Linked DNA regions of Diceros bicornis minor. The protein of the gene in region 2 interacts with the protein of the main gene of each other region in a pairwise test. Links are inferred from orthologs where the notes say so. Each region holds a gene or a part of one and is shown on either strand. Other genes may lie near its edges. The genes, in order: RNF144B, UBE2L6, ARIH2 and RNF144A.

Region 1 (7,709 bases), on a different chromosome or scaffold from region 2:
CTCTGACAATGGCCAGGGAAGACTATTCAAAGTAAGTGGTAGAAGAAGGTGAGGGAAATGGTGTGAGACTTAGACAAGTTGGATAACAAAGGATAAGTGGTTACCAAATTTTGGCCCTAGAATCTAATTTTGCTCCAACTTTAGCAAGTACTATTTGTAACACATTTCATTAATATATCCTTCTCAACTGTTCCATGGAATAAGATCAAAGAAATAGAGAAGCGTAGAGCTTTGGTATTATTTCTCTTATTCGCTGTTAAAATAAGGAGATCATTTCTGTTGAAGGGGGCTTTTCCTCTTATAGGACTGACATTCAGTGCTTAGATTATATTTAATGCCATCGCTGTTGGTGGAATCATAACATCAGACGCAGAAAAGTGTTTTCCACTGCAAGTTGGCAGGAAATCCTCAACAGTGTCACAAGATTGTAGTGTTATCTTAGAAAATAGATATGTCTAACCTTAAAATATTTCTATAAATCTTATTTTGAATCTAGACTTTTATAAATAAAATATTTCTTTTTAGCGCTTATTCTTCATTTAAGGGAACTAGGTTTGGGTGGGTATCTGTCCCATAGGCAGCTTGGATTTAAAAAGTTAAATTTAGAGTAAACAGATGTTTGCAAATTAGGATAAGAAAAAGATTTTTTAAAGGTGATGCTGTCTCCTAGTAATTTTTTTTGGAAAAATACATTTGTTTTGTCTCTCTCCCATTTACATCTCAATTTAATGCAGTGGTTCTCAAGTCGGGGAGGGGGTATTATGTTCACAGGGGACATTTGATAATGTCTGTAGACATTTTTGGTTTTCACAACTTGGGGGAGGTGCTACTGGCATCTAGTGGATAGAAGCCTAGGATGCTGCTTAAACATCCTATAATGCACGGGACAGCCCCCAAACAAAGAATTATCTGGATGAACACATCAGAAGTGCTGAGATTGAGAAACTCTAATCTAAAGCAGTGTACTTTCTTTTTCTAGCAATCCACTAAAACTGCTCTCATAAAGACCAACAATGATCTCCATATAGGCAATCGAAAGGCTTCTTTTGAATACTCTTGTAATATTACTTAGTTTCTATGCAGCGTTTGACACTGTTTAGCATCCCCTTCTTGCAAAACCTTTTTCTTTTGACTTGCATGACATCGCTTTCTCTTGGTTCTCCTCCTTTGTTGGCTGTCTTGCATCTGTTGGCCTCTCAAATGTTGGTGTTTTTCAGGGATCCGCCTAGGCCCTTGGTTCTTTCTTTGCACGTGATTTCCTGAGTGATCTCATCCACACCTATAGTATCAATGACCTCTAGATTAATAAAATCCAAATCAATACATTTAGCAACTTTCTCTTTGAGCGTCATACTCTTATCAATTGCCTATTAGATTTCTTCACTTAATATCCCATCAATATCTGAAATTCAATATCTTAAAAGCTAAACCCATTCTTTAGCAAATCTCTCTTTTTACTGATTCATTTAATCGCTTTATTGTCTACCTTGTTGCTCAAGCTTGAATGTTTCAATTCATCTTTGGCCTCTCCTTCTTCGCAACTCCCCCATCAAGTCCTCTGGATTCAAAACCTCTGAATGTCTCATACACATCTCCTTTTCTTTCAGGCCTTATCAGCCCTCTCCTTAACTGTTATAGAAGTCTCCTTACTGGTCTCTCCCTGACGCCTTATCCTTTCCCTTCCTTAAGGAAAAACTAGTCCACCAGACCAGGAATAATCTTGCAGGTCCTACAGACTAGCTAGTGTGTTCGGCAAACATAGATTAATCTTTTAAGACTCAAAACATTGTCTTCTCCATGAAGCGTTCCACAGGTCTCTGAAGTTGCGACTCCTTCCTCTCTCCCCTGCACTGTGTTCCCTTAGTACTTTGTTCATATCTTTATTATAGTATTTATGAAATTATATTCTGATTACTTATTTACAGTCTACCTTTGTAGTAAACATCAAGTTGTCTGCCTCTTTCTGAAGAGCTGGCCTCCTCCCAATCTCCTCAAGTACCCTTCCATCCTCATCCTCAATCCTATGCTAGCCACTGTCCATATAGTTACATGAAGAACTTATGTAGGCATGTTTTTAGGTCATGACCCTGACACCCTGTCCTCCTTGACTGGGCATCTGACCCAAGTAAGGCCAGTAGTCCCCTCCCTGGGAATTTCGACTTGAGAGAATGGAGATGTGAATTGGGATGAAAGTGAATTAGGATAAGGGAAGAACAGAGCTTAGTGATTGTATTCAATCTAGAGAGCATGGCCTAGTAGCAGTGGCATGAACTTTGACTTCAGACAGATGGGTTCAAATTGAGGCAGGTCATAAGACAATTAGATGGTCAGAATGAAAGATAATAGGAATAAAATAGCTCTCTCCAAAGGAGAGGGGAGCTGGGGTACGAGCACACTAGTTTGCTCTTACATAGTAGAAAATTTGGAATATGTATCAAAGTGACTCCTGTGCATCAAATTTTCCTTTAATTTATTCCACTACTCAGTTACAAATTAACATTCTTTTTATCCTTGAACCATATGAGATAGAGTTACTGTATAAAAAATATTTCATAAAGAAAAACCCCAAACAAACCATTTTCTGTCTCTAATTTCTATTTATCTCTATTGTTTCTCAGTTGTTTACCACCACTGACTCTCCTCCCTCCATACCCCCTTCAGGAAAACTTTGTCTCTCTGGTGACTTGTCATAGGACTGAACTTAGATTCCACGAAGGCACGAGGATCTGTACGCTGGTATCGCTGATCATGTGCTCTTTCTAGAGCCCTTCTCCCTGATTCCCTCTCATCCCCACCTCCCAGCCTCATTTGTTCTCTGCCTGCAGCCAGTAATCTTTCTCAAGCAAAAATCTGATCTCATCATTACCTTGCCTATAACATTTCAGTGTCCCCATTTTCTGCAGAATAAAGTGCAATTTTGAAAACATGGCCTAGAAGGCTCTACATGATCTGGCCTCTGCTTACCTCTCTAGTGTTGTCTCTCCATTCTTCCTCCCAGCCACTCCCACTCCCACCCCCAAGAAAAAAATCCCCCAGCCATAATGAGTTTCTTTAAATTCTTTGAGTTGCCACGTTCTTTCTTACCTTTGGCCTTTTCTCCATGCTATCCCCACTATAGGAAAACTCTTTCTCCTCCTACTCTCCTTTCCCTGGCCAAGTTACACTCACTCTTCAGGTCTCAGTTTAAAAGTCACTTCCTCTGGGCTTCACATATACTGCCCTCCGTGTGTGCTATCCTCCATCAGAACATCTACTTTTAACAGCCTGTTTACTTGTCTATGCCCCTCTTCAGCTTGGTGAGGGTGGGGATGTTGCCTTTCTTGTTAACTCTTCCATCCCTAGCACCCAGTAGAGTCTCGAACTAGCAAGCATTCAATAATTATCGGTGGAATGAATAAGCAGGCCAGAGTCTTTGTACTGACCATCCCCTACTGCCTTCCTATATCATCTAAGCTGGTCCTTTCAGTTGCAATAACTTGTTTGATGAGTTTATCTTCCGATACCCACCTCCTGCCCAGTAGGGAAACCTGACGATTCTAGTAAGCATCCGTTTTTTCCCCAGACCTCAGATTAGAAAGTTATCTAAATTTAGAAAAGATAATAGATTAATATGGAGTCTCTTTAACAGGTATTTGCATTTACCAGGGCTCTGTAATAAACTGGTTGCTTCTCAAGTTAATTCCTAGCATCCTATAAATTATAGCATGATTGATTATGAATAATGCTACACTGCTTCTAACCTACTCTATAAATGTATATTATATTGATAGGTAAACGAATGAATAAATGGAGTGCCATTTAAGAAGTCATCTTCCACATTCCCAGTAGGGATTAGGTGACTCTCAGCTCCTGCATGTTAGTGATACAGTGATGTTTTCAGGGATCCCTTCGCATCGTTCTTACCTTTTATATTACTCAGTATGGTCTGCCCATTGCTAGTTCGTTCGCCATTAGAAGTCTCTCTGAATACATCCACCTGCTCCTTCCCAGAACTTTGGCTTCAGAGCTGCGTCTCTCCGAAGTGAGAAAGGAGGCTCCGGGCATGCTCAGTAACCAAAGCCAGGTGTAATTAACTTCTCTTGCCCTGACTCCGGGCCCTGACAGGTGGCAGGTATCGACAGTGCTGGCAAGAGACTTGCCCTGTCTTGTACAGTGAGCATATCCTTCCCGAGACCGATCTAACGTCCTGGCAAGCTAAGTTGAAACAGTGGGGACGTCTGGGTTTTTAAAACAATAAAATAGAAGGAGTTGTTTTGGAAAAATTAAAATGACTGGCAGGCGATTCTCAGAACACAATCTACATGAATATCAAGTGTTAAATGATGTTATGGTTAAGATAAATGAGGACGGAGGCAGGGGATGAATGGGAGCAGTGCCTACCTTGAAGCTCATTGGGCAGATCAAAGCTTTTAAAAGGGTTTTTCTGAAATCGCCCAGCCCCAGAATTTCAAGGACCACGATCGCTGCCTCCTTCCTCCAGAGAGTGCGTTCCTGGGGGAGGTGTGTGCGTGCACGCGCTAGGGGAGGGAAGGCTTGGGAGAGGGGCCACCGCTCTCCGGAATAAACAGCAGGGGGAGAAGGGGAGCGCGGCGGAGGGCCGCCGGAGGGGGATGAGGAGGCAGGCAGCAGGGGCGAGGGCCGGAGGGGGCTCGAGACGCGCGGAGGGGCTGGTAGCTAGGAGACCCGAATGCCTCTGATACCTGAACGGCTGCGTGGCGAAGCTGACGGCGGACCCCGAGCGGGCGCACGCCCTCGCCGGTGCCCTGCCCCTGCCGGGTCTCCCTGCTCCTTACTGCGACCCCGCGCGCAAGGTAAGGAGGGGCGCGGGGTGCCACCCTTGCCTAAGCACCGCCCAGGCCCGCCGTCCCGGGTGGCGGTTCGGCCTCCCCAGGCTGTCAGCTCCTTCTTCCTCCCTCGCCCCCTCGCCGGCTCCCCTCGGCGCCGGGCTGAGCCCCGGGCGGGCGGCCGGCAGGGACTCCGACCTCCGCCATCCTCGCTTCTCCTCTGCGGCCCGCGGGACCCCGGTCTCCCCTCCACCCCCACCCCTCCGTTATTCCTCGTGCCCCGGGCTCTGGGGGAGAGGGTGGGGAAGAGGCAGGAGGTCTTCCACTCGCTCCAGGTGTGTGGCGCAAACACCGACGCACCGTTTCCCCCCAGAGTCTGCAGTGATTTCCAGGCTGAAATACCACTCTTTCAAACATACCCCTCCCTTCAGTTACTATCCTGACTTTCGGAGCGGTGGGTGGGGGACGTTGTATATTAACCCTTGGTCAAGGTAGGGTGTACCGTCTTATTTTTTGTATCTGCACCAACAATAGGTTTGAGGTTCTTTGGAGTTTATTTTTCCTGAAAATTAAATACTGTGATAAGTTTACAAGGTTTTTCGGGTGACTACGGTGCTAGAACTTTTTATCGTAGCCTAAAGCAATAGCTTCTACTCAGGCGTTGAGATCCTGATTCAGAAATCTGGGATGTGTGCGTGTTTCTGCGTATTTGAAAAGCGCTCCAGGTGATTGCGATGAACTCTCCCCTCATAATCACTTGAAAGTATCTGTAAGGTCCGCATAGGAGGGAGAGAGGGTACCCAACTGTTGGTAAGCATCACCTGGAAATGGTAGTGTCAATAGAGAATAAAAACGGAGTGAAAGCTGGTTCCCTTCAAGTTGATGAATTTGGTGCGGTATCATTGGTTCTGAGATGGCAGTTTTGGGAAGGGAGAGAGTTAACGCTCATTTGAAACTCAGATAAAGGGTGGAGAGAAACATCGTACATCTAAGAGCCCTTGTTAAAGAGTTAGCTTTTAAACGTCCATTTTTACTTCACAAGTACTCTGGCGATTAGAAAGGACTGAGGCCTATTCTCGTGGGAATCAGAAAATCTTTCTTCCCTATGCTTGCATTGGCTGACTTTGTGTTAGTGACCACTGGCATTTTTACAATGTTGATTTCTTTAAGGCTAAAGACCCTAATGGACTTTGGAACCAGAAGGAGGAATTATCATATAAATTAACTTAGATCCTGTTTACATTCCTAATTATATGAACCAAGCTCTTCTACACTGAATTGGTTAAGAGTGTGTGTAAATTATATTGTATTTGAACTTACACAAATACTAAATGTTTCTCCATCTCACAGTTTGTGTTAGATGTACATCTGCTGCTTTTCATATATATCTGTCTATGTACCTGAACCATTCTAAGTACTTAACAAACTATCAGAGTGTAACCACCAGGGGAAATAAAGATTTTCATTTGTCTGTCTTTTGGAAAATTGAGATGAAGGACTAATTTTTAAAAATACTGTAAAGTAGATATAATATTATTTCATACAACTTTTTATGAAGTGAGATAGATGCTTGTTATGAAATAGGGATGATATTTGGTACCTGCTTTCAAGGATATTAAGGACAAGTAGGAGACTGTAAAGCATTTTGAACTTTTAAGAAAAGAGTCACTGTCTAGGTATTGAGCCAATGTGATTGTTTTCCTGGCAAACTTTTTCTCCTTTCTAAAATTAACTTTCCCCTAGGAAAAATAGTGCAGATGCACACGATTCAGCCAACCAAGTCCAGAAAATATTGTGTTTGAATTTTAAAAGTGACCTTAATTCATCCCTATAGATCTAGTGTTTGCAGCCTATGCCACAAAATATGCAGAAATATTCATTTCTTGCTGACCTTTTCAAAGCATTGCCTTAATGAAGAGTTATGGACAGAGTACAATATTATGTTATGAATGTTGTTGGCTCAGGCCAAATTATATTATTTTCCTAAGGTTTTTGTGTCTATATGTGTACACTGGGTCTGGGACTTACATAATTATGTATATAGATGTAACACATGTTTTTAATAGGAACAAAAACCCACAATATTTTTCTTTGTGGCAGAACACTGTAAGCATTAGGTTTTGATTACTTTTTCATGGAAATTTTAATATGACAGAACTAAAAACTTCAAGGAAATATATCTATAAAGATCTACTTGGAATGAAGGCCTTTTTAATAAAAGATGTTTGAAGCCCTTAGTCTGTGTGCTTAGCCTTTGTCAAGTAGTCCCCCCACTAAGGGTGGTATATCCAATTCTGGCTGCCTCAGTCAGTGGATGATTAGACCCTGCCACTCTTTTCCAGACCTTTAATTTGGTTTGTAACTTGATGCTTCGCTGACCCCACACTCTCCCTGCCATGCTAGCTCACAGAGGAATTGCTGGCACTCTGGATTGAATTTTTTTCCCTCCCATCAATTAGAACATGTTTGCATTGGTTGCAGAATGCGGTTACATTTTTAGCTCAGTATTCGAAGAAATCCCTTTAGCCATGAAGAGAGTAGCCTTAGTGAAGCCTGGATCACAAATTGCCTTATTTCCTCGTGTTATGTTAATTTCCCAGTGATTCAACTATGTGGAAATAATAGAGTCATAGAGTATTAAAATTGGAAGGCACTTTAGAAGTCATTGAGACTCTGATTATTTCTTTCTACAGATGAATACTGAAACACTCATAGCCTTAATCCAAACTATGAGAGTAGACATTAAATTTTATATTCTTTCCAGTTCTTGTAGTAATGAGAATTTTGCTCATTTGAAATTAATTTATATATGAGTTCAATAATGTAGTATTGGCAGCAAAGTAAGTTGCAAATCTCAGCTAGATTTCCAGTGAAACTCAAAGTGTGACATTAAAGGCAGTGTAGATCATTTACAAAACCCATGAA
Region 2 (7,038 bases):
AGGTGAGGTAACTTTAGTACCTACAAGGTGCCCCTCATGTACACAATCTCATTTTATGCTCACAATAAACAGACAGTAAGTCAAGCCTTGAGGCCTCTTATTTTTGGTATATCATCTTTTAATTTTTTAAAAACATTTTAATTGAGATATAGTTGACATACAACATTATATTAGTTTCAGGTGTACAACATAATTATTTGATATTTGTATATATTGCAAAATGCTCATCACCGTAAGTCTAGTTAACATCTGTCACCATATGTTGTTACAATTTTTTTTTCTTATAAGGAGAACATTTAAAATCTACTCTCTTAGCAACTTTCAAACATCCAATACAGTATTATTAACTATAGTCACCATGTGGTTCATTATACCCCCAGGACTCATTTATTTTTTAACTGGAAGTTTGTACTTTTTGACCCCCTTCACTCATTTCACCTACTCCTCATCCCCTGCCTCTGGCAACAACCAATCTGTTTTCTGTATCTATGAGTTCGTTATTTTTTTTGTTTTTTGGGTTTTTTTTTTTTTAGATTCCACATATAAGTAACTTAGAGGCCTCTCTCCTCCAATCTTTTGTTATACTTACAGATGAATATCTCTCCTACTTAATGGTAAAGACACAGAGTTGGCCTCAGCCCTTCCCGGGGCCCCCAGAGTGCTCAACACAGGGTCTTGCATAAGTAAGCGCTCAGTACATTTTTGGAATGGATGAATAAACACCAATGACTAGATCAGAGAGAATTAAAGAGCTCTATTGAGGAAGATAGTGTTGCCATTGCTCTAAGGGAGCAAACTCAGTAATCTCTCCCTCCAAGCCAGCACATTCGATCCTGGACGGGCACCTGCCATCATTTTAGTATTTATTATTATTATAACTATCACTTATTGTGCAAATAGCAATTCATTACTCCTCACATCCACTATTATTAGCCCCATTTTACAGATGACAAAACAGAAGCACAGACAAGTTAAGTAATTTGCCCAAGTTTATTCAGCCAATAATAGTGGAACTGGGATTTAATCCTGAGTATTTATTTCTTGGATTTATAGATTTCAAAGTTCCTCCACTTCTGTGAGCTTAGCCTCACAGGGGTCCTGGGAAGCAGGTAGAAGCTTCTACGTCCCACCCAAGGCCATGCTGCACTGGGGGGCAGATGTGGAACTAGAATCCGGGTCTCCTTCTGACACACAAAGGTCTGCATTGTGGAAGGACATGGAGACCGCGCATGCAGGCCTCCCAGCTGTGTGAGAGTTTAGGATCCATCCCAGGATGGGGAAGCTGGGCTAAATCCAGGACTCTGGATTCACTTCAGGGATGCAGAGTTTCCGAAGGGAAAGGAAGGAGAACCACAGAGCAGTGGACAGGCTTTGCTCCACACTGTAGAACCACTTTCAGTTTCTGTATACACTGCCACCTCACTTTTGCTCATGCTGTTCCCTCTTCTTGGAACACCCTCACCCCATATTCTTTTTTTTTTCTTTTTCTTTTTGTGAGGAAGATTAGCCCTGAGCTAACATCCATTGCCAATCTTCCTCTTTTTTTTTTTTTTCATGTTTTAATAGTTTTTAACATTGTGAAATTTTGGGTTGTACATTTTTGTTTGTCCTTCACCATATACATGTCTCCCTTCACCCCTTGTGCCCACCCCCCACCCCCATTGCACCTGGTAACCACAATACAGTTTTCTCTGTCCATGTGTTGGTTTATATTCCACACATGAGTGAGATCATACAGTGTTTGTCTTTCTCTTTCTGGCTTCCTTCACTTAACATAATACCCTCCAGGCCCGTCCACGTTGTTGCAAATGAGACGATTTTGTCTTTTTTTATGGCTGAGTAGTATTCCGTTGTATATATATACCACATCTTCTTGATCCAATCGTCAGTTGAGGGACACTTAGGTTGCTTCCACTTCTTGGCTATAGTGAAGAATGCTGCAATGAACATAGGGGTGCATAAGCCTCTTTGGATTATTGATTTCAGCTTCGTTGGATAGATACCCAGTAGTGGGATAGCTGGATCATAGGGCATCTCTATTTTTAATTCTTTGAGGAATTTCCATACCGTTTTCCATAGAGGCTGCACCAGTTTGCACTCCTACCAGCTGTGTATGAGGGTTCCTGTTTCTCCACATCCTCTCCAACATTTGTTGTTTTTTGTCTTGGTGATTATAGCCATTCTAATGGACATGAGGTGATATCTTAGTGTTGTTTTGATTTGCATTTCCCTGCTGATTAATGATGTTGAACACCAATCTTCCTCTTTTTGCTTGAGGGAGATTCAACCTGAGCTAACATCTGTGCCAGTCTTCTTCTATTTTATATATAGGTCACCGCCACAGCACAGCTGACGAGTGGTGTAGGTCCACACCCAGGATCTGAACTTGTGAACCCGGGCCACCGAAGTAGAGTGCACCAAACTTAACCACTAGGCCACGGGGTTGCTCCCCTTATCATGCTTTGCAACTCACTTAGATTTTTATCTCTTCCAGGAAACCTCTGTCCCTCTCTGAGGCAGGATCAAGTTGACCCTCCTCAGGCTCCCAGAGCACCAAATGATTCCTGATAGGCTTGTGCTTACTGCTTTGCATTAAAAACGCAAGGGCTGCATTCTTTCCCTCTGTCCCACCAGTAGGAGAGCTCATCAAGGGCAGGGACCCCACTTTCTCATCGCAGTGTTCCCTAAAGTCAGTGTCTGGCACTCAGTAGTAGATGCTGGTTAACTGAGATGGTTCAGATGCCTCATTCCCTCATCTCTACCTATGTTATGGGATTGGGGACAGTGGCTTATTCATTTCTGGCATGTAGAAGATGCCCGGATAAAGTTTATAGGATTGAATTAAACAGAATTAATCATTCTGCAAATACATCCCACATCTGAGCTGAGAAGTCATTTGGCTCCAAGACACTTAGATAAAAACTACATGAAGTAGTGAGTTCAGAACTCAAAACGTGCTCAAAATACGCTGGTTTCTCTTCTCATTTGGACTGAAAGGAGTAGGGTGAGGAAGATGGCTTCAATCCTCCCAAGGAGACTCATTTTTACTAGCAGATTCTTCCCCAGACGCTGCTCCGTGTTCAGGAGCTGCAATTCCACGGTGGCCTCAGCTTTGGGCTGGCGGAAGGGGTCTCTGTCCCTGGAGAGAGGGGTGGAAATTCCTGCCTATGTGTGCGGGGCACACAGTAGACCTGCAGTTTGTAATGGCCCAGTGGTAAAATAAGGGAAGCTCCCCCACTCAACTGTTTCCCAAATCGTCATATAGTAGGCACTTACTAAATGCTAAGCTTAACCAGGGACTAAATGAAGGGTCGACCGAATCCTCAAAGCAAGAGAGACTGGGCCCAACAGCGCCCCCTTGCGGGGCTCTGCACCAAGCAGCCACCTGGGAGAAAGGTCCTTGCAGTCTCACCACCGAATGCTGGACAGCACAAAGGATCCCAAGCTGCCAGGGGAGGGGTCCTTGGAGGGGAGATAGTCTACCGTGGCCCCCATCCATTTTTAGAGATGGAGCACTGGGCCCAGAGAGGGAAAGTGATTTGTCCAGGGGGCTCCAGGAATTCGTTGAGGGGGCTTAGGGCGGCGGTCTGATGGAGCTGTATTTGCATACCAAGAGTTTTTTATTTATTTAGGGAGAGTGTATATTTGGGGCGCTGTGGGAAAGCTGATGGAGATGGGGGGGCCTCCGGCGGCGGAGCTGGAACTAGAACCCGGATGGGCGGACCCCGGCCCCGCGCCGCGAGCGCTTGCTGCCTGGTGCGCGGCGCCCCCCAGCGGGACGCAGGGATCTGGCACCGCCGCGCGCTCCCGGGCCCGCGGCGGCTCCCGACAAAGAGCGCAAGTTCCGGGGATCGGAGCCCACCGCGCCGGGGCCCAGGCCGGGGCGCAGGCGGATCCTCCCCTCGGCGGCCCCTAGTCCCAGCAGAGGCGGTGGGGGGCAGGACTGTCCGGCTCCCGCGTACGCGCTGGGGGAGCGGGGCGTGGGCGGGGCTCTCGGGGGCGGGGTCCCCCGGGCGGGGCGCGCCGAGTCCGCCGGTCGGGGCACAGTCTGGCTCAAGTCCGCGAAGCCCCACATTCGGTCCCGAGATGTCAGCGAGCAAGCGGGTGGCGAAGGTAACTGCATGTAGGATGCCCCCTTTCTCTTGGCTCCCCTCGCTCTCCCATTCCCTCCTCCCTCCATCCCTCCCCCGGCTCTCCGCTCTCTGAGCGCGTTTATCTGGTACCAGGGCTGGCTGAATCTCTGTCATCCCCGCCCCCTCCCCAGAGGAGTGGGTCTGCGAGAGGCGCCGGAGCTGGAGTTTTGAGGGGTGAGGACACATCAGGCGAGGGTGTCGCTGGCGCCCTGAGCTGTGCTGGGAATGGGGATGAGCCAGCTCCCCCCAAACTGGTTTCAGTTTCATTTCTCCTGCCAGAAACTTGTGGTAACAATTGCGTGCGTCTCAGGTGCGGGAAGGGTTCCTTGGCGTCTTCTTGGAGCCAGGCGCTCTGCTGGGGGTAGTGGTGGGTGGGTTGTGAACTGAAATAACCAGGAAAAGGTCCTTGCCCTGGAGTAGCGCACGCCCCGCCCCATGATTTGGTACCCACATCAGCGTCCCGAGAAGTATGGGATACTGAGTAGGAGTCGGGAGCAAGATTCCCTGGGTATTCTCGGTAGGAAGAGATGCCAAGGCGGTCCTGGAGCTGTCCTGGAGTAGGTGGCATGCATTCATTCGTTCTGCAAATGTTGTCGAATGCCTACTGTGTGCTGGCTCCTGTTCTAGGATTTAGGGAGGCAGAGACGAACAAAAATCCTGCCCTCGGTGAGTTCATTCCAATCAGGGACACAATTTGAAATGAGGTCTGGAAGGATGGGGAGGGGGCGATTTCCCCCAAGAGCGGGGAAAACCCAGGGTGTTTGGAGGGCTGCGGTGCAGCCAGGAGATGAAGATAGACCGGGAAGGGAGGACAATCCTGGTGAAGTGGGTCTGACACCTCCCAGGCTTTGAGTCTCTCAGCAGTGCCCCTTCAATGTACGGAGTTGGGGGCAGGCCTGAAGGGGGTGAAGGAGGGCCTGCTACGCTCAGCCTCTGAGAAGAACATGATCTCGGATTGGGGCACCCAGAGCAGGCTCAGCTCAGAAGAACTGAAATCTGAAGGTTGGCAGCAAAATGGGGCAGAGAGTCTTTCCAGCCAAGTGGGAAGGAGCTGGGAGCCAGTATTTGTTGCATTGGCACCATTAAGTGCCAGGCAATTTACATTAGTTATTTCATCGAATTCTCTCAGCAACTCTGTGAGATAAGTCATGTATGCCCATTTTACAGATGAGGAAGTGGAGGCTCAGAGAGAATAACTTGCTTGTCCAGGGTCACCCAGTTGGGAGTGATGGGGCTGGGATTTGAGCCCAGGTGGATGGGGCTCCCATCTGCAGTTTCTTTCAGTGAGCTCTGTACTTTCGTTTTCTGTTCTCTTGAGTCAGATGATTTCCTAACAGGCCACAGGAAAGAGCCGTGTCCCCTAGCTCGGGTTTCAACATCATCAGGCTTGGGGAAAGTTTTGGCAGAACTCATCCATAACAGATAAAGTCCAAGTGTTCCTAGTTATAGTGAAGTCGGGAAAATGTGCATTCCAGAGCCTCTCTGTTCAACCTGGGGCTTCCTTCTTGCCAAAGAGTCACAGATGATGCTAGAACTATGACTTATGGTAGCAGATACTTCTAGTGTGGGGTAAAAGGTAAATGAGAGGTCAGACACTCTGGGCAGAAGGTGCAAGAAGCAGTTTGTTGTATGAACAGAGATGGAGTATGGGCTGAGGGATAGGAAATGGGGGACAGGCATGTGTTTCTATGTTGGGGGGCAGATAAAGGTCAGACAGGACACAGTGTTAAAGGACTCCTCTCCAGCTGTGGGCTGGAGCTCTCTCTCTGCCTTTGTTTGCACTAGGGTTTCTCAACCTTGTCACTATTGACGTTTTGGGCCAGATAATTTTTTGTAGGATGTTTGTCAGCCTCTCTGGCCTCTACCTACCAGAGACTAGTAGCACTTCCCCCATTTGTTACAACCCAAAATGGTTCTAGATATTGCCAAATGCCCTGAGAGTGGGGGTAAAATAACCCCTGATTGAGAACCACTGGTTTACACTCATCTGGTGTTCCAGAGGAATATGACCTGCCCTTGAGTGTCTTTTTATCTGTTATTGGTCTTTTCCAAAAAAAATGGTCTGTTGCCCCACAGGATGGACCCCAAAAGGGGGAGAGGGGTTCCTTGGTCAAATACATTTGAGAAGTACTGCATGCTGTGGGCTCACATCTTGGAGGTTCATGATACACAACAGTATACTAAAGGCTTTGTGAAGTCCTGCAGTAAAGAAATCCGTTTAGCTTAGTGTTTCCCGATGTACTTGACTGTGGAACCCTTTTTCTGTAATAATTATTAATCTTGCATGGGACACACTGTACACATTTGCTCTAACTGGGCCTATGCCTTGGTACCTCTTCCCTTCTCTGCACCATGGGCTCCTATTTATTCTGCATGGCTCAGCTCACAGTGTCACCCTCTGCAAAGCCTTCCTGCTCCCCTCTCCTCTCCTTCCCTGTTATGTATCCCCACATTATTCACATAATCACATTCATGTTGCTTCCATTACTCCAATGAAGTTCTGGAGAGTTGGGCCCTGTCTTAGTCAAGTGTCAACAGAGGATACTCAGGAAAGGGCTGTCGGGAGAATTCAGTGATGTCCAGGTGACTGGGCCACATTTCTGGGAAGGCGAGTCACTCCTTGTCCCCTTGTTTCTCTGCGGAGTTCTCCTCTGCCATGGGCTGCCTGAGTCATTTCCCTGCCCCAGCCCTGGTCTGGAGGAGATTGACAGGGATGGGGTGATGTCTTTGCTGCCCACACTGCTTTGAGCACTGTAAGGACATGTCATGCTGGATACTCAGCGGAGGCTACGGAAGGAAGGGAGAGAGGGAATTAGGAACTTGTGACTCCTCGGGTGAGGACAAGAGGATGGAGGTTAAGTACCTCAGTTTCAGGAGAAAAGGCTCCTAAGAGAATTTACTCCCA
Region 3 (7,371 bases), on a different chromosome or scaffold from region 2:
GAGGCTACACCATTTTACATTCCCACCAGCAGTGTATGAGGATTCTAATTTCTCCACATTCTTGCCAACATTTGTTATTATCTGTCTTTTTGATTGTAGCCATCATACTGGGTGTGAGGTGGTATCTCATTGTGATTTTGATTTGCATGTCCATGATGGATAATAATGTCAAACATTTTTCATGTGCTTATTGGCCATTTGCATATCATCTTTGGAGAAATGTCTATTCAGATCCTTTGCCTATTTTTTTCCTTCTCAATTTTTTTTATTGTGTTAAAATACACATAAAATTTACCATCTTAACCATTTTTAAGAGTACAGTGATATTAAATATATTCACATTGTTTTGCAACCATGACCATCAACCATCCTCATAATTCTTTTCATCTTGTAAATCTGAAACCGTATACCCATTAAACAATAACTCTCCATTCCCACCTACATCCAGCCTCTGGCAACCACCATTCTACTTATCGTCTCTACGATTTTGACTACTCTAAGTATCTCATATAAGTGGGATCATACAGTATTTGTCTTTTTGTGACTTATTTCACTTAGCATAATGTTTTCAAGATCCATACATGTTGTAGCAAGTGTCAAAATTTCCTTCTTTTTAAGGCTGAATAATATTCCATTGTATGTATATACCACATTTTGCTTATCCATTCATCCACTGGTGGACACTTGGGTTGCTTCCATATTTTTAGCTACTGCGAATAATGCTGCTATGAAGATGGGTGTATAAGCATCTCTTCGAGACCCTGCTTTCAATTCTTCTGGTCATTTACCCAGAAGTGGAACTGCTGGATCATATGGTGATTCTATTTTTAATTTTTTGAGAAACCACCATACTGTTTTCCACAGTGGCTGTACAATTTTACAGTCCCAACCACAGTGCACAAGGGTTCCAATGTCTCCACATCCTTGAGAACACTGGTTATTTTCTGTTTTATTGATAATAGCTATCCTAATGGGTATGAGGTGGTATCTCATTGTAGTTTTTATTTCCATTTGCCTAATGATTAGTGATGTTGAACATTTTTTCATGTGTTTATTGGCCATTTGTATATCTTCTTTGCAGAAATGTCTATTTAAGTCCTTTGCTCATTTCTTAATTGGATTATTGTCTTTATTATTGAGTTGTAAGAGTTCTTTACATATTCTGGATCCCAGCCAACATCTGCAACCTCACAAGAAACCCTGAGCCAGACTACCCACCTAAGCTGCTCCCAAAATTCTGCCTCACAAAGACTGGGAGAGTTAATGAATGTTGTTGTTTTAAGAACTAAGTTTTGGAGTAAGTTGTTACACTGCAATAGATAACTGATACACTCAGTTACTTTTGCAGTCTTTTTCCTGGCTGCTTTTCCTGCTCAGAGTTCGGCTTCCAAATCTTTCTCAGGTTGCTATCATACTAACCTCTCTAAAACACCATTTTCACCCTGCTGTTCCTTTACTTCTTTAGAATCTCTCATTCTTGTATTTGTTAGGGCCTTACATGCCACGCTAAGGAAATGAATCACTCTCTAGGCAATGGAGGTAACGTGCAAGTCTGAGGAGTTTATAGGACACAACAGTAGAAATGTCCAGAGCCTCCCACCGCTTTACATCCAAAATCCCTTATACTGGCCTTCAGATCCTCAATGGTCAGGTACAACCTCCCTCAGTTAGTAGGGAGAGAGAAATGGAGCAAAACTTCTGACTGATATCTTTTTTGTGATTTTGTATAAATCTCAAACTTGTCTCATCATCACATCAGCCATCCAGGCCAGCAAGAACATTAAAGTCCTCCATGGCTGGTCTTATCTTGTGTGGTCTCCCACCGAGACTCCCACTACCAAGCCTATATCTTCCTTCACTCCTGCCCTCTCCACTCCTGGTCTCCCTACTTCTCCAGTCAGAACTCAGCCAGCCCTTCGCCACCTGCCATAGAGCCTTTCCAGGCTCCCACTCAGAAGTGCCACAGCTCTTGCTTTCTCAGACCACAGCTAGTCACCTTGGATCTCCGAAAGCACCTCTAGTCCAGGCTTTGATTGGAGTCCATCTGGCTCTCTGAGGTCAAAAGGACAGCAGTCAGCAATTCGTGGTTTTGGTTTAAGCTAAAAAGAGGCTTTCTGGCTGTTGAAAATGCCAGTGAGCATTTCCAGTCATTTACACTTCAGTACAGAGGCCATTGGGCCTCCCTAGGAGTGACATCTCATAGGGAGGAAGGGCAAGAGGATACAGAGTTAGAAGCAACATTTGTATAAGGCAGCAAACAAGGGTTTAAAAGTTTTTTCTTTAGAGAGGCCTCAGATGCTTGGAACTAACAAGCTCTCTGCCTACATGGATCAAGAGCAAGAAGAGAGACAAGACAATTCTTCTCCCTTACTAGACAGTGCTGCTTAGAATGACCACTGTCTGAGAAGCACTAACACACACATTTACCATCAGCTGAATAAACATCTGATTTGTTTCACAGTGCCCCAACCAGTCCGGTTGCTTTAATCCTGGTCTTGGCATAGAATGACCCTGGCTCTTCTCCTAGGTTAAAGGTAGCAAAGAGCTTGCTGCCCAAACCTGTCAAGAGTAAGTGTCCCTAAAGCTATTTCCCTGTGGAGGAAACCCCATCTGACATTCTAATAAGCCCTCTACACAGGTTTCCCGCTCTATAAGACTCATGTCTATTCCCCACAGGCCCACCCTAGCCATGATCTGTCAATTTCCTCCAAGTGTGTGTCCAGAAATAAGGTTAGAAAACTTGGATGAAGGTTTGAATGCTAAGTCACAGGGCATGGACTTTGGTCTCCAACAAGACAGTGCTGAAAGTGTTGCAGTGGAAAGAGTCGAGGCCTGATGTGAGGAAGACCAGGGAACAAGCCCTAATGAGTTTCCTCCTTTCTAGAGCCTCAGTGTGACCATGGCTTCCTCACCTGGGAGTTGTGAGGATCAGCCTGGCCCTGGGCAAAGTTGGTCACTTGCTCTCCTTGGAAGGGGCTCAGTCTCTGAGGACATCATTGCTTCCCACAGGAGGCCACTCAGGGTAATGTGAGGTGACAGGCTAAAGATGGCCAAGCTCCCCTCTGGGGCGGGAAAGGAGCGAAGAGATGGTGACAAGGCACTCTGGCAACAGAGGAATGTGTCAAAAGACATCTCTAGAATAATCCAGCCTCTGTCTTGAGCTTTCTTCCTGAGGCGGGCTTTACAGGTGACCTGTTTCAATCTTGCTGATACTGTTAAGGTTTGCTGAAATCAGAGCTTTGGGGAGGCACTTTTTCTTTCCCACCCCCAAAGAAGTGGTGCAAGGCCAGGAGAGGCTGCCGGACAGAGAACTTTTGAGCGGTTAGAAGCCGCTCACTTTGCGCGGTCCGGCTCTTTGGGACGCGAGGAACAGCTTCCTCCGACCCCCGAAAGGGGCGAAAGGGAGATTCGCTAGATTTTTCTGGGAAGCTCCGACCGGCCCCCTTCTGTCCGAGCCCACGTCTCGACGCAGACCCTGCTTTCCGCGCCTCGCCCGGGCCTCCTCCCTCCAGCCCACGCCCCAGCCCCCTCGCACCTTGACTGTGTCCAGCGGGTGTCCTACGAACACCAGGCACATGCCGCCAAAGCCGCCGGCCAGTAGGTTCTTGAGCGGGCTGATGGGCTTCGCCGGGTCTACCATGGCTCGTCCGTCCGTCAACGTGCCTGTCGGTTCCCAGGCCGCCCCGCTCTACCGCCCCAGACGCAGCGCCGGCGCCGCCGACCTTTCACCCACTTTCATGTGGGCGGGACATGAGCCCAGGGCAGGTCGGGAGGAGGGCCTAGACTGCCTGGCCCGGCTTCCGCCATGGGCAGCTGCTTCCGGCGGAGGACCCGCCCTCATGGGCGTGGCTTGAGGGAGAGGGGCCGGCCGTGACACTGTCTGCGAGTTGTTTGGAAGGGCCGGCAGGTGGCCTCGCTCTTCCAGGAAGTCGTCCTGGATTTGAGTGTTTCCTCCTCTGGGCTCCCATTGCTCCACTCACTCCGCAGAAGTCGATTGCGCTCTGCTGTGTGCCAGGCGCCCTTCTAGAGCTAGTAGCACAGCACACGGGGCCTTGTCCTTGTGGAGCTTAACAATGACAAAGACCATAACAAAGATAAGTGAAAAATGTGTAGTGTATCAAGTGGTGATAACTGCTATGGAGAAAAATAAACCCGGAAATAGGGTTAGAGAGTATGAGGGGTCGAGTAATTTGCAATTTTAATTAGGTGAGTAAGGGATTCAAGACCTGAGACGGTGAGAGAGTTCTGTCTATAGACTGCCATAGAAGGTCCCTCACCCTCCACCCCATATCCTGTCCATATGGGGTGGAGGGTGAGGGACCTTCCAGGCAGAGGAAAAGAAAACGCAAAAGCCCGGAGATGTGCTGTGCCCTGCCTGTTTGAGGAACCACAGGGAGGCCTTTGTGAACAGAGTGAAGGAGAGGAGGAGGAGTAGCTGGTGAAGACATGGAGGTAATGGTGGCATATCAAACTGGGTTTTGTGTGCCATTGTGGGGACATCAGCTTCTCCTCTGAAGGAGACAGGAGCCATTTTGGGATTTAGAGCAGGGGAGTGACATAGTCTGACTTATGAATTGCCAAGATCCCTCTGACTGCTGGGTAGGAATAGACTGTAGGGAGCAAGGAAGAAGCAGGGAGCCTTGACAAGGCTAAAGGTCATGGTCAGAGATGCTGGCAGGAATCAGGGCATAGCAAAGGAGGTGGTGAGAAGTGTTCAGATTCTAGATATATTCTGAAGAAAGAATCTAAAGGAATTGTTAATGAATAGAATTTAAGGTATGTGAGAGAGGAGTTAAGGATGATGCTAATATTTTTACCTTATTGACTCTAGGTGGACAGTATCCAAGTATTCACTATATTATTCTTTCATCATTTCTGTATGTTTGAAATTTTTCAGGTTAAAAAGCTGTAGCAGGTACCTCACTGCCAAGCTGACCTGATAACAGTCTTTCTCTGTGGGCACTCCCAGGCTAGAGGGAAGCTAGGAAAGGGGAATATGGACCATGTGTGCTGGGGGTGGAAAGATGAGTAACAGGATCAGGACTGGGATCAGGAAGTGACTGGGTCTGGCTGGTCCAGAAAACCTGTAGGGGAGTGGAGGGCAAGGAGGCTGGGACAAGACCCAAAAGCCTATCTACTCTGTGCTATAGGCTTTTTCTAGGAGGTGATGGGGAACCATGGAAGAATTTTAAGCACAGTGGTGACATGATCAGATTTGTTTTAGGAAATCTATTTTGCATGAATGATTTTGTGTCGAGATAGACTGGAAGCAGGGAGACCAGTTAAGAGAGAATTACAGTGGTCCAGGCAAGAGGCGGTGAAGGCATGAACTGAAGCAGGGATCATAGAAGGATGGAAAAGGGGATAGAACCCAGAGGCATTACCAGAAAACCTGCAGCAGCTCTGGGTTTCAGACACACTGCAATTGCAGTGCCCATGGCACATCGGGGGACATACCTGGTCAGTGTCGGGTATACAACTTGGGAACCTGGAGAGAGGTGAAAGCCAGGGACAGAAGCCAGGAAGTTTTCAGCATAAAGATGTATATATGACCCCTGGAAGACTGTACTATGGGAAGAGGGGCTGGCATGGAAGGAAGAGCTCCCAAAGCAGAAGTTGCTGTTAGAGTTTTAGAAGAAAACAGAGAATAGTGCCTTTGAGTCCAAGGGATGAAACAGTCAAATGCTGGGTAAGCTAGGGAATTTTAAATGCTCCTTAGGTTTTTTTTGGTTGTTTTGTTTTGTTTTTGTACAAGGAAGATTCACCCTGAGCTAACATCTGTGCCAGTCTTCCTCTATTTTTTGTATGTGGGATGCTGCCACAGCATGGCTTAATGAGTGGTGTGTAGGTTCACGTCCAGGATCTGAACCAGCGAACCCCAAGCCGCCGAAGTGGAGCACACAAGCTTAACTATATGCCACCAGGCTGGCCCCCTCATTAGGTTTAACTATTAGTCATTGGTGACATTTAGAAGAAGTTTTCCCATAGTGTTGACAGTGGTGGATTGAATACTGAACAGGCAGCAAGAAGGCAGAGGCACTGAGAGTCAATTACTGGTTCAAGGAGCTTGGCAGGGAAAAGAAAGGAGCAATGGGTTAAAGGGTTTAGATTTCAGTGTTTAAGATGAGACTGAGGCTGAAAGAAATATCTAGAAAGGAGAAAGTGCAGCTGATAAGACAAGGTCCTTGAGGTGCTGGGAGTGGTATCTGGTGTGTGTGGCATCATCTGACAAGCTTCTTCTAAATGCCCTGAAATTTCCAGGGCTCTGATTCTGAATCTCTGAAATTGAGTTCTGGCACAAGAGTGTTTAAAGCTCTGTGGCTGAGTTTGAGAAGCATCCATTGTTAAGAACCTCCAAGATAGGGCCGGCCCCGTGGCTTAGCGGTTAAGTGCGCACGCTCCGCTGCTGGCGGCCCAGGTTCAGATCCCGGGCGTGCACCGACGCACCTCTCCAGCCATGCTGAGGCCGCATCCCACATACAGCAACTAGAAGGATGTGCAGCTATGACATACAACTATCTACTGGGGCTTTGGGGGGGGAAATAAATAAATAAATAAAATTATTAAAAAAAAAAAAAACCTCCAAGATAGAAGGAAGAGTGTTCAAGCTAGGTGAGGAGACAGCTCACAAAATGTAAAGTAAGGTTGCGTAACGCCTAACACACAGTAGGTGCTTAAAAAGATGATTGTTGAGTGAGTTAGAAAGTGGGTTCAAAGGGCTTTAGTACAGCTGAGGAGAAGAATCTCAGACATTGGAACAAGAAAGGGCTGTTAGGAGAGAGCTCAGGTACAAAGTGGGTTGTCAGCTCTCAAGGAGGCCTGAGGTGTCCTCCTGACTTCCTACATTATCATCTTTGTTTCCCACAGATTATGGGGAATTTCCACCATGAGAGGGCAAGACTGTGTTAGTATCCAGGCCACATGTTTACTGAGTACCTCCGATTTGCAGAACTCTGTATTCATTGCTGGATTGACCTTAGCAGTTTTATTGGACAGAAGGTCCAAGTTTCAGGGTTTGGTAATGGGACCTTGTTTCTCTCATTTATGGCTTATAATGCTCTGGCTGCAGAAGAGGAGCTAATTTAGAGTCAATCTGCACTCAGAACAGCTTCAGGAAGAGATGGTGTTTCAGGAAGATCTGGGCACCTCCATGACAGATGTCAATGTGGACTCTACTCAAGCCCACTAGGTTCTATTAAATAACCTCATAGGGTAACCAATAATCCACTAAACAAATGGTCTTCCTGCCTCCTCATTTTATCAGCCTTACACATAGCAAGAAAATTTACCTAAATTTTATCTGACTATGTCATTGCCTGGCCAAAAATCCTCCTCAGCTCCTCATTGCATCAGAATAAAATACAAGTGGTT
Region 4 (7,488 bases), on a different chromosome or scaffold from region 2:
GTGAGTAGTTCTAAAATATTGATTCTCCTGGAAAAGACCTTTAAATCAACACATTTTTATTTCAGGATCTTGGAAATCACTTAAACCAACACCTTAGTCTTACAGCTGAAGGAACTGGGGGCATGCAAGGAGGTGAAGACCCTTGCCCAAGGTCACACAGCTGGGTCAGAGAGTTGTACAAACTCTGTCCTTCAGCCCTAATTCCCAGCAGGTATGTGAACAGTTGCTTCAATTTAATTTTTCTCTAATTAAGAAAAGGTATTCACGTGTGTCAGTAGTGCAGCAACAAAAGACAGAGGAGGCTGGTTTGGAAATGATTACCTCAACTGACTTTTCTAGTCTTAAAGAAAGGCACCTTCAACTTGGTTCTTGGATCTCCAAGGTAGGAAGGTACCCAGAGTGAATAAAACATTCCATGCTATTCATCGCCTCTTGGCTGTCTCTGATATCCCGCACCCCAGGAATTCAGGGGGAGTCCTTGCTTGGCCAGATTCCCCAAAGAGTCTGAGGGCTCAATACCATCCAGAGTGGCTCCAGACCACCAAACCCCCAAGCTAGCTGGCGTGTCTCCATCCTCCCCAGCTCAAGTGCAGAGAGGAGAACAGCAGACAGTCCCAGGCCGGCCACAGCTCTCTGTGTGGCTGGGGTCCCTGACCTCTCCTCTCCGAGTCTACAGTGTCCTCAAGGTCACAATGAGGGGACTGAGCTAGGAATCTGTGATGACCATCTAGCTCTGTGATTCTCAATCTAGGAGGACAAGTCTCTCCCTGTCTCTACTACCAGAGAGAAAGGATCCCAAGAGGAGGAGAAATTTGAACAAAAGAAGGCGGCGGGGCCAAATTATGAACCACAGTTGAAAAAACAGACGACGTGGCTCCTAGCGTCTGGCCCTGCCGCTGTCTGGCTGAGTGGCACGTTCACCCGCTGGACACCAGCAGCCTCAACTGAACAGTGTGTGTGGTCCCTTCCAAGTCCCAAACCACAGTAAGTCCACAGAGAAGCACCAGAGTCGCCTGTGGGCACCCACATCATTCATTCGCCAGCTGCAGCTCTGCCCCCAGCATTTCAGTTTGCCCTTCATTCCCCTTCCAGGGTACTGACGTTAGAATCAGGGCCTCTTTAAACACATGAACTTTCTGATTCCAACTGTGCTGAATATGGAAATTTTCCATGCCAGTAAAATTAGTTTATTTGTATCCCATTTTTTCATGAGGTCCTCAATCCATGCTTGACCCACTGAAAAGCAGTGCAGGTGGGGGGGGGGCCTGATTCCAAAGCTCACACTCCCCCTTCCCTCAACACTGCCTTAATCACTCTAAAGCAGGGCTCAGTTCACTCACTCTCCTCCTCTGAAACCATCAATGGCTCCCACTGCCACAGGATCAAGACCCAACTTGGCCTGGAATTCAAAGATTTCATGATTTGTCCCCATCTGACCTCTCAAGTCATAATCCCTTTGCACTCTTTAAAAAATAATAAAAACAAAAATTAAAAAGGCACTAGAAAGCTGCAAGAGATCAGGTCCCTATTATTAGTACTGGGGGAGGGAATACAATCACAGGAGCCTTTGGGCTCCAGGCCCATGGGAAAGTCCCCAGCACAGACCTTGAGTTCCCACCCTCCTTCTCTGCTGGGCAGTTCCCTCTGGCCACTGGCTCTTCCTACCACCTTGGACCTGCCCCGCTTCAAGCTTTGACTCAATACTCCTCCTCATAAAGCAGCCCTGCCTCTTCCTCCTGCCTCCCCGTCCTGGGAACTCCCACAGCGCCACAGGCATCTTCTCTGCAGGCTAACCTCTCCCCTGAGGGCAGCCCCTGGCCAGATTCACTGGACCCTGTCCTTACTAGATCCCCAGGCTCCACTCCCAGGAAAGTGCTTCCTTCCCATAACTGTTCAAAGCAGGATGTGGGGTCTCTTTCTAGTACAGGGACCAGATCCCCCTCCCACCAGGGCAGCAGGACCCACTCCGGGATACTCCCCTGGGGCCTTATCTCGCTTTTCTCCCTTACCCTGCCTTCCACGGAGCACAAGGAAAGTACAGGATATTTGTTGAATGGGCTTTTTTTTTTTTTTTTGACTGGAAAAAAGAGAGAGAGAACTTTAGGACTGACCATCCTGAGACCTGCCTATGTAGATCATTACGGTACAAGTAACCCCTTCCTCCGTGATCCTGAGCCTTCAGGTTTCCACAAGTGAAGAGTGCTGGGCGCCCAGGACGGTGCGGGGGAGCTGGGGAGCCTCTGCTGGAGGGTGGATGGGGGAGACCCGCAGGGAACTCCCCCACACGCCCCTCAGTAAAGGAAGGCTTCGAGGGAGGAAGACAGCGGCCGCGGTCATCTGGGCGCCTGGATGTGCAAAGCGCAGGACCCACGGCACCCGGCCCGCTCCGGCCAGACTGACCCGCCCGCCGCCTCCCCACGCCCCGGCCGTTCGCCCTTTCCGAGACGTCGTCGTCCCCGGCCTGCGGGTGGCCCCCCACCCAAAAGAGGCCCCTGTCTGCCACCTCGCCCGCCGGACCGGCGCCCAGAGACGCAGCGCTGCACAAGGGACCCGAGGTTCCCAAGCGGCCGCGGCGCTGTGGCCACCGAGGGGCACGGCAGGGCCACGGTGGAGTCCTCGGCACGAAGCCGGCGGGTCCCCATCCGCGGACCCTGCCAGCCACCCTCGGCCCGCCCCGATCCGAGCGCCAGGGACCCGGCTGGGCCGGCGTGGGGCGAGCCCGAGGCCGGCTCCGCACAGCCACGTCCCTCGGCCGCGCCCCGCGGCCGTCATGCCGACACAAAGGGGACGCGCGTCACCCACCTGGTCCCGCGCGGCCGGGGCCCCGGGGGCCGCCGCTCCTGCTCGGCCGCGGGCGGGGCTGCGCGCGCTCCGCGCGATGTCGGGCGTCCGGTGCCCGCTGTCCGCCGTCCGGTGGCGGTGTCCGCTCTCCGGGGCCGGGTGCCCGCCGCCCGCCGCCCGCCGCCTCGCGCCCGCGTCCAGCCCGGAGCCGCCCTTTATTCCCTGCCCGCCCTCCAGCCGGGGCGCACAGCCCGCGGGGGGAGAGTGGGCGGCGGCGAGCGGCACAAAGACGCGGGGCCCAGGCTCGGCCGAGCGCCCCCGCCCGGCGCGCAGCGCCCCCTGCCGCCCGGCCGTCCGCCCGCGCCCCGCCCTCGCCGCGCAGGCCCGGGGAGGCGCCTGGTCACCCGAGGACCGCGAGAAGCCGACGGCCACTGAGGCGAACCCGAGGTTCCTTGTCCGGCCGCCGGAAGACGGACCCCTGATGCCCACACTCTGCGGGGGGAAAGCAGTAAGCTAGGAAAGAAATAGGTGACCCAATCAAACCCTCTTAGCCAGGTGATAGGAGCATCGGGCTGGGCACCAGTGCCTGGGGTCAGGTCCCGGCTCTGCCACGGACCAGACAAACAGGAGCACGCCACTGGGCTTCCCAGAACCTGAGCTCCGTGCCTTGTCGTATGAGGACGTTGCGATGAAGGCTGAGGGCCTTTCTATACCAGCGTCACGTGAACTGTCTTTCCGTGCCAATACCTGGTTGCTTTGAGGGATGGAAAAGAGGGGGCAACGTGGAGGGTCCCTCAGTTTTGTGGATACCCGAGATCCAGGCATAGCAATTCATTTCCTATTCTTAGGGGTTCTAGCTTTTTAGAGTCAGATCTTTGAAGGCAGAATTCCTATAAGATTTATCTTTGCCGTTCCCTCTACTAGAAGTTCCGCAAGTGTTCAATTCGACTTCTGGCAGGCACGCGTATCTGAACAGAGCTTATCGGTGTCTACGAAAGAATTCCTCCATCAATGCATAGACTCTTTTCTCGAGAATTACGGGAAAACCTGCCATAATATCTTTCTTCCTTAACACCATACCCTCCACACTGTCGGCTCTGACTTCTAATGCTATCACCTACAAGCCCTGAGACCTTAAGTGAGTTACTTAACTTCTTTGTGCTTCAATTTTCATATCTGGAAAAATGCAGGTGGTAACAGTATGTGTATCATAGAGATCCTGGGAGGGATTAAATAAGTCAACTAGTCAACTATGTATAAAGCATTATCATCATAGCTGGCAAATTGTAGGAACTTCGTGGTCCTTAGCTATTATTTGTCTCATTTCCCTGAGACAATTACACTACAAGATTCTTAACTATCTTGACACACTCTGCATAATTTGTCTTCCCCTGCTACATACACATCTTTTTTAAAAATATAAATCTGTCTCATCTACACTGAGAAGTTATTCTGGTAAATATTTCCCCTCCTCAAAGATATGAATGAGCACTTGCCTTCTGATGTCTCTGTCAAATTCTTTGTAGAAATGGCATTATTCAAGAAGAGGGCCCAGTGGGAAGAATCCTAACACTTGGTTACTCCACCCTCTCACTAGAAGATGAAAATGGTTCTGCATAAAGGCCCGAGCTTCATGGAAAATACATCCCTCCTATACTCTGACTGTGGTACCAGGAAAGTACAGGTGTGATACTGCTTATGAATGGATGGTTAAATGAATGATGATGACTGCAGATACACAGGGAGTGGAGGTGATCCCGTGTGCTCTGTGGTGAATCAGTTCACACTGAGATGCAGACATTTCTATGGTAAATGGCATAGAATTCAAGTTGGAGGAGCTGGGAAGGAGCATCTGGAGTGGGCAGGGACGGGGTTGAGGGGCAAAACCAATCTCTTACCCAACTGTGTAATCGAGGCTTGTAACTACTTAGGTAGAGACACGTGTGTGACCTTATTCCCATGTTCGTTTGTCTTGGTTAAAGCAATCATTGTTGGGGAGATGGGGAAAGAGGACATCATCATTGATAATCCAATTTGCAGCAGTCCACACAATGCATCTCAAAGGTGATTTTTCTCTATGAAGTCTTCCCAATGTCACCACTTTCCCTACTCCCGGATCCCTGAACTTGTGTAATATTTAGTTTGTGTCTGTTAGTCATGGCATCTGTCACACTTCATGCTTTGGGTATTTACTGTCTCTTATTAGATCTTAAGATTCTGTAGAACAGTGATGAAGTCATTTTTCTATGCATTCCCCAAAGGGCCTTGAGCATCCTAAGTGCTCAATAAATGGAGTGAAATCACCTACTCTGAGCTCTGCCTCGGGGCAGCCGTCCCAGTTCTCTCCAACAAGCTGCCTGTGGCTCTCAAGGTCATTTCCACTCATCACTGCTTGATTTTCAGTCCAACTCCCTGCACGAGTCATGACTTTGAACCATCTCACTCAGAGGTTTGACATGTCAAGTCCATTTTAAAAGATACCCTTTGTTCCTAAGTGCTTGTGACTCATCCTTCACTCATTGAACAAGCATCTTTTTGATTACCTACTATGGGCAAGATGCTAAACAGACCAGAAAATTAGTGTCTCTGTAAATGGTCCAGAGGCTGAAGAAATGGGATTCCATTCTCTAGTTTCCAGTCTAGACATAAAATTGAGGGGAGCTCAAGATTCACACTCATGGCTCAAAATAAAAGCTTTTTTGACAATGGAGTTTGTACAAATTTGTAATCACACAATCTATAAGCACAGAAAATTCTCAGTTCTTTAATTTTTAAAATTAATTTAAATGTCATTATTTCTAGAGGGTAGCAGGCAATTAAATGTCACCGTTGTTCTGACTGTCTCCCTTGGGACACACAGGAATCTCGGGGATTTCATGGTGCTGGGATGTGGGACATAACCTATCATCCTCAGCCCATCCCTAGGTTCAGTGACAGCCTCCTCCAAGCCCTGCCATCTCTTTCAAGCAGGCTGCACACAGCTTCTCGTCCAGATGCACAGCTCCCCAGGTGGGCCAGGAGGCCTGAGACATTCCCCACCTCCCAGGGCAATGCCAAGTCCCTGCCACTCTCAGAACTTCTTGGGAAAGCTTCCCTTGTCCACATGCCTGCCACCATCCCCTCAAAGGCCTCCTGCCTTTCTTTTCCATCCTAGACATCCCAAATAACTCTTCTGTGGGTGGAGCATCCATGTAAGATGGGAGGCAGAGAGGTTGTCTTCAGGCAGCTCTGCCTTCAGCTCTGCAAACACTACTGGAGCTAGAAAAAATGCAAGACTTGAGCTATTTTCCTAGAACACCAGGAGAAAAGATGCAAAAAAGCCAACCTACATTACTATCGCAATAAAATGTGTGGTCAAAATAACAAACAATAATAGCTTAAGGAAGAAAAACAAAACTTCAAGAAAGAAAGAGAAGTGAAGATTGAAATTCATCCTTGCAGTCACTTGACAACAGTGCCGCCATGGATGAATTGTGTCCCCCAAATTCATATGTTGAAATTCTAACCCCCACCACCTAATGATATGACCTTATGTGGAAATAGGGTCATGGCACATATAATGAGTTCAGATGAAGTCATCCTGGAGTAAAGTGGGCCCTAATCCAATATGACTGGTGTCCTTATACAAGGTCAATTTGAGGACAGACTCACACACAGAGCGGACACCATGTGAACATGAAGGCAGAGATCAAGTGATGCTTCCACAAACCAAGGAATGCCAAAGATTGCCAGCTAACCACCAAAAGCTAAGCGAAGGCCTGGAACAGATTTTCCCTCACAGCCCTCAGAAGGAATCAACTCTGCCAATCCCTTAACCTCAGACTTCTGGCCTCCAGAACCATGGGAGAATGAATTTCTGTTGTTTGAACCACTGAGTCCATGGTATTTTGTTTCTGCAGACCTAGCAAACTAATGCAAGTATCTGGAAGGTGCCCATGCGTGACTACAATTTAGTGAACCAGTGTCATAATAAAAATTAAAATGCCATACAATGGTGGTAAAATAAATGATAGTAAACGAGAAGGTTACTATGTTAATAAAAAAGTAAAAATATTTCTCCTGGCATCCTCCGAGACAGTGGAAACATTTTCTGTCCTGCTCAGCAGCATATCCAGCACAGGAAGGACAAGTTCTAGACACTTAATAAATACTTGTGGAATGAACTAAATGAATCTTGTCGTCCACAACTCTCTGCTATCTAGCTTTCCTATATAGCTCCGAGGCAAATGCTGTAGATTCTGAATAGACCTTTAGACCAGAGAGAAAGTTGAGTCTGATCTTTTCACTTCTAGTATGGAAACACTGAGATTTAAAGTGGCCCTTGACAGTTCCAAGATCACTGCTAGCTAGTGGCATAAATGGTGCTATTACTTGAGGTTCTTAGCTAATTCAGAGTTCTTTTCATGTTTCATTACACTCCCTTTCTATAGTAATCAATAGAATATGGCCCTTGTGGCTGGACGGAATTTTAAAAGGCTTTGGAATGGAATGATTAAATTACATTCAACATCACGTGGACTTAATTGTGGGCAGACAGTTAATGCTCACTAAGTACCCATGTGCTTCTCCCCATGTCCCAGCCCCATGCAGTTAGGTGAGGGCATGTGACTCATTTTTTTCAATGGACTGTGGGCAGGAGGGCCACCTCCGGGCTGAGGCAGACAGAAGGTTACAAGACCTCTACCTTGCCGTCCCCATCACAGTGAT

Evidence for each region.
Region 1: the proteins of UBE2L6 (region 2) and RNF144B interact in binary tests that used the Homo sapiens proteins (3 or more experiments, as listed by UniProt). The link is inferred for Diceros bicornis minor from reciprocal best matches to the Homo sapiens genes UBE2L6 and RNF144B.
Region 3: the proteins of UBE2L6 (region 2) and ARIH2 interact in binary tests that used the Homo sapiens proteins (3 or more experiments, as listed by UniProt). The link is inferred for Diceros bicornis minor from reciprocal best matches to the Homo sapiens genes UBE2L6 and ARIH2.
Region 4: the proteins of UBE2L6 (region 2) and RNF144A interact in a two-hybrid assay, tested with the Homo sapiens proteins (2 studies listed by BioGRID and IntAct). The link is inferred for Diceros bicornis minor from reciprocal best matches to the Homo sapiens genes UBE2L6 and RNF144A.

What each region holds. Positions count from the first base shown.
Region 1 is NC_080753.1:49,217,201-49,224,909, reverse strand, and holds the start of RNF144B (E3 ubiquitin-protein ligase RNF144B), read left to right. Parts: upstream 1-4,706; 5' UTR 4,707-4,811; intron 4,812-7,709.
Region 2 is NC_080770.1:16,365,514-16,372,551, forward strand, and holds the start of UBE2L6 (ubiquitin/ISG15-conjugating enzyme E2 L6), read left to right. Parts: upstream 1-4,017; 5' UTR 4,018-4,086; coding exon 4,087-4,113; intron 4,114-7,038. UniProt on the Homo sapiens protein: Catalyzes the covalent attachment of ubiquitin or ISG15 to other proteins. Functions in the E6/E6-AP-induced ubiquitination of p53/TP53. Promotes ubiquitination and subsequent proteasomal degradation of FLT3.
Region 3 is NC_080741.1:50,191,489-50,198,859, forward strand, and holds the start of ARIH2 (E3 ubiquitin-protein ligase ARIH2), read left to right. Parts: upstream 1-4,363; 5' UTR 4,364-4,452; intron 4,453-7,371. Other genes in the region: SLC25A20 (mitochondrial carnitine/acylcarnitine carrier protein), read right to left, coding at 3,536-3,640.
Region 4 is NC_080751.1:72,669,538-72,677,025, forward strand, and holds the start of RNF144A (E3 ubiquitin-protein ligase RNF144A), read right to left. Parts: upstream 3,016-7,488; 5' UTR 2,803-3,015; intron 1-2,802. UniProt on the Homo sapiens protein: E3 ubiquitin-protein ligase which accepts ubiquitin from E2 ubiquitin-conjugating enzymes UBE2L3 and UBE2L6 in the form of a thioester and then directly transfers the ubiquitin to targeted substrates.